2 linked regions of the Xenopus tropicalis genome follow. The protein of the gene in region 2 interacts with the protein of the main gene of each other region in a pairwise test. Links are inferred from orthologs where the notes say so. Each region holds a gene or a part of one and is shown on either strand. Other genes may lie near its edges.

What was found.
Region 1: the proteins of ube2u (region 2) and rnf144b interact in a two-hybrid assay, tested with the Homo sapiens proteins (2 studies listed by BioGRID and IntAct). The link is inferred for Xenopus tropicalis from reciprocal best matches to the Homo sapiens genes UBE2U and RNF144B.

The regions. Positions count from the first base shown.
Region 1 is NC_030682.2:93,574,350-93,578,178, forward strand, and holds part of rnf144b (E3 ubiquitin-protein ligase RNF144B), read left to right. Parts: intron 1-3,608; coding exon of another isoform or gene 3,609-3,645; coding exon 3,646-3,810; intron 3,811-3,829.
Region 2 is NC_030680.2:84,733,857-84,737,556, forward strand, and holds the end of ube2u (ubiquitin-conjugating enzyme E2 U), read right to left. Parts: intron 960-3,700; coding exon 775-959; 3' UTR 550-774; downstream 1-549. UniProt on the Homo sapiens protein: Catalyzes the covalent attachment of ubiquitin to other proteins.

The sequences.
Region 1 (3,829 bases), on a different chromosome or scaffold from region 2:
AAAAGTCACAAAATTTTTGTACTGAACGATTGTAAACAGCGGCTTAACCTTTCCGAAATTTTTGCACAAGCGTACGAAAAAGTCACGAAAAAAACGACGAAAATATGCTTGGAACATTCAAGTCAGCAGCTAGGCTGACCTGATAGGGAACTGAAGCCTGTCTATGCTTGTGTGAATGCAGGGCTGTGATTGGCTCTCCCCCTCCTACTGTGCTTCTGGCAGGGACTGTTAGGACACGCCCACTCTTCATTTCACACTGGACGGAGAAATGATAGGATCTATAGGGAGCTCCAATAAAGGGGCCATTGTTACAGATAGGGTTAATGTTTAGCCCAAAGGGAAACCAGCACCGTATATTATTCATAATTGCCTACAAAATTAGCATTTTTCCCATTTATCCAATATGTCTCCTTTAATAAATCTCCCCCATAGTATTCTGAAGTAGTTTTAGATATGCTTATATTACACAACAGCTGTTTATATTGTTAGAACGTCTTGTATTTTATATCTTTATATTTGTTGTACTGGATATACTAGTGCTGAATAATTTGGAGCAGAGAATTATGATTTCTATATAGCAGGAAAGTTAATTATTAGGATTTGGTAAACTGATTGTGCAAATTGTTTCCCAAGTAGTAGCTCACATATTTGAACAAATATTGTATTTCTCTTAAAATGTCTGTTACCTCATAGTCCTATGACTTGCCAAGTGCTTTCACGGAAGGGCTGTTAGTCATTTTTATTATTATTGTGTCATTTTAAATATGCTATGCAGTTCAGTATCTGTTAAGTTACAAGAGCATACATTATGGATAAATAAGGCAATATCTATGCAGGTATTGGTACTTGCATTCTTGTGCTCTTTGCACCTCTGTTAGAGCTTATAGCTATAGCTGTTCTGCAAATAACAGCACTCCCCCAACAGTTCTTGTTGAAAGTTGTGGTTTAGCTGAGCCAGTGTAGTTTAGGTTGGAGCAATTTTGGGGTGGTATTCTAATACAATGTACTGGGAATTCATTAAAGGAACACTAAGGGGCTTAGGCCCCTATATGTGGACTAAGGTCCTTATATGATCTTTGTTTTCAACAACAGCCTCATGCTGTAAAAAAAAAAAAGATGTCCAATGTCCAATCCTCATTCTCTGCCTTTGACTTGATATGTATGCAGAATGCTGTAATGGCATATATGAGCTTGTCACCTTAGCTGTATCTGATTCTGTATTGTCCTTGCGAAATGGCATTATACATTCTTTCTGATTATTATCTGGCCAAATATTGTTTACTAAGGCACAAACGCTTCGAATGCGTCCAAATGTGTTTTTTTTTTCATAATGATCGGTATTTTAGCGATTATTTTGTCGCCGGCGCGACTTTTTCATCGCCGGCGCGAAAAAATCGTATGGTAGTGCCAAGTACGAAAGTTTCGGATTCATTCAAGCTTCAGTATCGTGACTTTCCTTGGGCCAGGTTGGAGCTGCAGAGTGCCATTTATTCCTCTGTGAGGCTTCCAAAATCATGCAAAGTCGGAAAGGTTTTTCTGCCGTTTACGATCGTTCAATACGATAAAGTCACAACGGCGACGAAATAGTAGCGCAAAATCCGATAAATTCGCTATAGCGACGAAAAAGTCGCGAAATTTTCTTTTCCAATCCGAATTTTTGCTATTCGGGATTCGAATTCGGGCTTTGGTAAATCTGCCCCTAGGTGTTAGAAAAACACTGTGTGCCACAATACTGACTTGACTTTCTACTATCATAATATTGCATTTCAATTTTGGATTTTTTTTAATCATTTCCAAAACATCAGCATTTATTTCATGATTACTGTTTGTTTGTTTTTTCAAGATATGCCAACATCTGGTGCAGCAGCTGCCTTTTTTTAATAAGTTATTAAGTTATTTTGCTTAATGCTTTTAAAGAACCAGTATACCCCCTTGTTCAGCATGAGCTTAGTTAATAGAGTTTATGTTGAACATACTTTAAGGTGGCACAAAACGAAGTTTCGAACGATAATAGCTGTGTGTATGGTGGGAGACAAGGCAACCGATTTTAGTAAGAGCCTTGGATATTGCTTGTCTTGTCGATCGAGCAGAACGAAAAATTTTGATCAGTTGCCTTTGAAGGCGACTGAACATTGGCAAACGTTAATGCTGAATCATCAAGTAGGGGTAAGAATTTCTTTGTTTTCACCTGCATATCTGACAATTCAGATCTTAATATTAGAGTGGACAAACAATCTTTCCTGCAACCAGTGGTTGCGGAAAAGATCATAATTGTAACGTGTACGGCCACCTTTAGATTATGGTCTTAATCTCAAAGACTTGTGTTTTTCTTGTTATTTCTTTACATTTAACAGAGAGATTGAAGCTACTTTATGTTTGGTCACTGCTAGGTAGATCATTAGATTGCCACTATAGAACCCTGTCCATTCACCCCTTGTTATGACCATTCTCTAAGCAGGGGGATGATTTGTGTACTGGTAATCTAATTATCAGTCTTGCAAGGATGAATTTTAGATGTGCCTTTGAAATCATATATAAACAAAGAAAGAAAAGAGAGCTGTTATTCTTAAGGTCATCATGACCTTAACAATGGTCCCTGTGAGCTGCTTTAATACAATTAAATATCCTTCCGATAGTAAGATGTACCCAGAACAGTGCCAGGCCAAGAGGTACTTATGCCCAAGACTCTCGTGTCCCAGCTCCCACACGCACACACCATCTCTAATTCTTGGATTCTTACTAAAGATTGTACAAAAAACTAGTGACTTTGTCATACTTCACTGTAAAGCTTTGTTTTTTTAAATGTACTAAATAGTATTGCCTTGTTGCTGCATGTCCTAGGAGTAGATCTGATATTGTAAAACCTGTTTGCCTGTGTGTAGTTTGCATGCCTTTCTTGTAAATAACATCTGTGTGCTTTGACACAACTTGTCTTGAGTCAGTAGTCTGTAGTAAAGTACACTCAGGCATTGAGTACACTCAGGTATAACACCGCTGCTATGATTATGTTTCACCAATAATACAAGAGCATATAAATGTGTATAGTCCAAGCAAGGGTAGCATTTCACTGAAAAGGGGTTGATGCCTGGGTGCTACTGCAAGAAAAAATTCTTAAAATACAAATGCAATATAAGCCAGCACTCACAGGACTTTTAGAAATGACATTCAGGCAAAATAAAGGTTTTTCCTGAAGAAAATTCCTGTCTGGAACTGAAACGTTGGATAAATAAAAACCATGTAAAATATTTTTCATAAACCTTTATTTTGCCTGAATGTCATTTCTAAAAGTCCTGTGAGTGCTGGCTTATATTGCATATATATATATATGTATATATATATATATATATATATATATAATATAATATAATATGTGTATTAATGCAGAAAGAGTTTTTGTCACGGGCGACTAGTCTCCCCGTGTGCCTCAGTCCTAATGTGTATAGATTCCAATCTGGACAGGCTGTAACATGTAGCACATCACACAATATCTGATGTGGTGGTTACAGATGAAGTTGGTCTATGTATAGCTGTGGGTTTTCTGGGTTTTCTTTCTTTTTTTTAGGTTTTGCAGTGTTCTCCTTTATTTGATATATTTTGTTTTCTTTCAGATCTGAGGATTTAGAATGCAGCTTATCTAAAACAAATATGGCCTCTGCTGGTAAAGTCTGCCATCATACCATGTTGGCAGGTAATTCAAGCCCTGGAGAATTGTCCCTGGAGCCTTTAATACTGTGCAAACTGTGTCTTTGTGAACATCCATTTGATAAGATGACCTCCTTACAGGCATGCAGTTGTATTTTTTGCACATCGGTGAGTTGTTTTTTTTTCA
Region 2 (3,700 bases):
AAAATGTATACTTAATTTTGAAATTTTACATGAGGCTAGCCATATTCTTCATTGTCCAGGGTGCCAAAGCCATGTGACTTGTGCTCTGATAACCTTCAATCACACTTTACTGCTGTGCTGCAAGTTGGAGTTATATCGCCCCCTCCCAGCAGCCGATCAGCAGAACAATGGAAGGGTAGCAAGATAGCAGCTCCCAGTAGATATCAAAATAGCACTCAATAGTAAGAAATGCAAGTCTGGCTTGGGACTCCTCCAGTTACATGGGAGGAGAAACAATAGGTTACCTGAAAGCAGTTCTAACGTGTAGCGCTGGCTCCTTCTGACAGCTCAGACTCAGGCACAATGCACTGAGATGGCTGCCTATACACCAATATTACAGCTAAAAAATACATTTGTTGGTTTTAAAATAAAATTTTAAATGGTAGAGTGAATTATTTGCTATGTAAACAGTGTAATTTAGAAATAAAAAGTACGCCATAAAAATCATGACAGTATCCCTTTAAAGATTTAAGCACTTACAGCAGGGATCCCCAACCTTTCATACCCATGAGCCACATTTAAATGGAAGAAGTGTTGAGGAGCAACATGTTGCTCACAAGCCACTGGTTGGGGAACACTGACACACAGTTACCCTAACAGGGAGACAATCCTCTCATGGGTTTTATGTTTTAAAGGCACTGAAGGTTGCATATCGGCTGCTGTAGAAATGAAAAAAACTGCCTAATTTACTGTGCATTGCAGCTCCTGTCAGTGTATTTTAGTGTAATATGTTGTTTAATCCTCTAATAAATCAATACAAAGGCTATCAGTCCAGGCGACCAGCTTGTCCACTTCTGTTTCCCAGGGCTCTCTGTCTGACACAACTCCATGGTGTGAGCTTAAAGTCTTTACATAACTCTCTCCTTTGGACAACTGCTCTTTCTCCTTCATATGGGTTGCTGTGGTCAAATGCCGTGCACCTGAATTAGCAGAAAATAAAAGTCACACATGATATTAACATAGAAGTAATAGGTGTACAAAGTATATTCTTCCTTTTTCATTCAACCAAGGATTTTTCATGCCCACAAGCCCAGGTTCATCCATTCCCCTACCATTGCCCCTGCCTTAGGACACCCACAGGCATGCACACTCTACCTGCCATCATTTAAGATGGGCAACTGAAATCATAAGCACAACTGGAACAGGACCCAAAAAATGAGAATCAATCTCTGCCTAGATACAGAAAACATTCTGTCCCTGGCCATTACATGCTGTGTGTCTCTGCAGTAATGGTCTTCTGACTTTTTCTGAATTCAAACACTAGGGGGCACATTCATTAAAGTACGAATCTGAATCACGAAATCCGATAATTTCTGATGATCGCAAAAGTCACGAAAATTATGTTTGTTTGAATACGAAGATTTTGTACTTACGATCTGAAATTTTAGTATTGAAACAATCATTTGCAAATGGCGATCCGATAGTCACGAAATTTTGGTATCCGAACAATCGTAAACGGCGGGAAAACCTTTCTGAATTTCAGTATTCAGTTCATGATTTTGGAAGCCTCCCATAGGACTCACTGGCACTCTGCAGCTCCAACCTGGCCCAAGGAAAGTCACGATACCGAAGCTTGAATGAATCCGAAACTTTCATACTCATTGCGACAAATTGTGGTGCAAATTGTTGCAAAGTACGAAAAAGTTGCGCAAATTAACGAAAATATCACAGAAAATAAGTAAAAGTCGTAAACTTTAGAAAAAATACACATTTTTTGTAATCAGACCAGTCGTACTATAATGAATGTGCCCCTGGGTTGTCTCTGCACCGAAGGAAAATAAGCAGTTTATATTACACATGACATAGTATACATGAAGTCAACCAAAACTCTGCATATTATATACAGGTATGCATAGCTCCCAAATGTCTCGATTTTCGCTGGACAGTCCCTCTTTTAACAGCTCAACCCGCAGTCCTGGATTCTTACTAAAATGTCCCTCATTTCTCCTGCACTGAACACTAAAAAAGATACAAATATTTCTTAACCTTAGGCTGATGCCACACGCGGCGTAGGGCTGATTTTTTCGTCAAGCGGAAAAACGCTTGCCGAAAAATCAGCCCTACGCCTGCTACTTGTGCCTGCACCCGAATGAATGGGATACGCTCGGGTGCAGGCACATGTAGCCGATAGACTTTGCATTCTCTCGCGTTTTCATGCGTATATCGGCTACATGTGCCTGCACCCGAACGTATCCCATTCATTCGGGTGCAGGCACAAGTAGGAGGCGTAGGGCTGAATTTTCGCCAAGCGTTTATCCGCTTGCCGAAAATTTCAGCCCTACACCTCGTGTGGCATTAGCCTTATTTAAAAAGTAGCTTTTGGCAGAGAGCCCAGAAATCTTAACAAGCTTCACCTGCACTTAGAAACATTGTTCCTCAGACTTAATTAAATAAGTGGGCTTTTGGCAGAGAGCCCAGAAAGTTAACAAGCCACACCTGCTGGATAAGGGATCCCATATCTGTATATCAATAAACTTTTCCGGTTATACATGACATTATTTAATGCTCTGGACATTATATATAGTACCAGGAACTCAAATGTAAAAATTCATCATCTAAAAGCTTCTATAGAAGTCAATGGGAGTTGTTCTAGGCAAATTCAAACCATATTTTCAATTCAAGATATTTAAGTTTTTTCGAGTGTATAAACTTGAAAATTCAAGGTATTCAAGTTTTTTTTTTCCTGATGAATTTTCCTTGTTAATAAATAAGCAAGCATTCAATATGCAAGTTTATTTGATTCAGAAAAACAAACTTGAATTCACAAACTCAAAAACTGATAAATAAGCCCATACATGTCATACTTCATAATTTACTTATTGTCACTTTTACACTAGATACTGTATTTTCATTTCAGGCAGCATGGTAGCACACGCCATAAAGCTGGCCATACACAGGTCGATATAAGCTGCAACTCCGAAGACCTAGACCACAGCTTATTGGACCATATAAGGGGCCTCCCAACAGACTGCTAATTGGCAGATTGAAAAATCCAGTTTGCGGAGGACCACTTTGGTGCATTGATGCAGACCTTGTCTGACAGGTTTGCGTAGGCCCCTTGGCTCAGGGGCCAAACTTTCTGATAAGCACAATTTTGCCCATTTACTAATTTTGCACCTCACTAAATATGTATGGGCAGCTTTAATGTAGTAATATTTAGCCAGCTACCACACAGTTAAATGCTTTGTCTGGCTCTCTCACTGGCAATTATCTAACACCATCACTCATCAGGCTTCACATTATTTTAGGAGTTTCTGTTAGTCTGTCCTAACCTATCCCTATAAAGTATACCACCACATGGATAATAAGCTCCTTGCCTGTTCATTATAGCTTATATTTCATTTTCTGCTTCAGTGAAGCAGAAACAAGGAATTGAAGTTCCTGGCAAGTCTGGGCTATGTAAGGGGATCACTGAGCTCTTTGGAAACCTGTTGCTTAGCTCTGAGACCTTCCACCTGGTCCTTCTATCAATGAATAAATGATAAAAAGGGAGTAAAGTTGCAATGTATTATACACACACGTTTTGAGGCCAGTGCACACAACAAACTGTGGTGTGCATGCCAAGAATTTTGTTTGAAAGCAATACATTTTGTATCTATTCTGAACTAAGCACAATGTTTTTAAAAATGCGCACACAAGTTTAAAATGTTTAAGAAGAAAT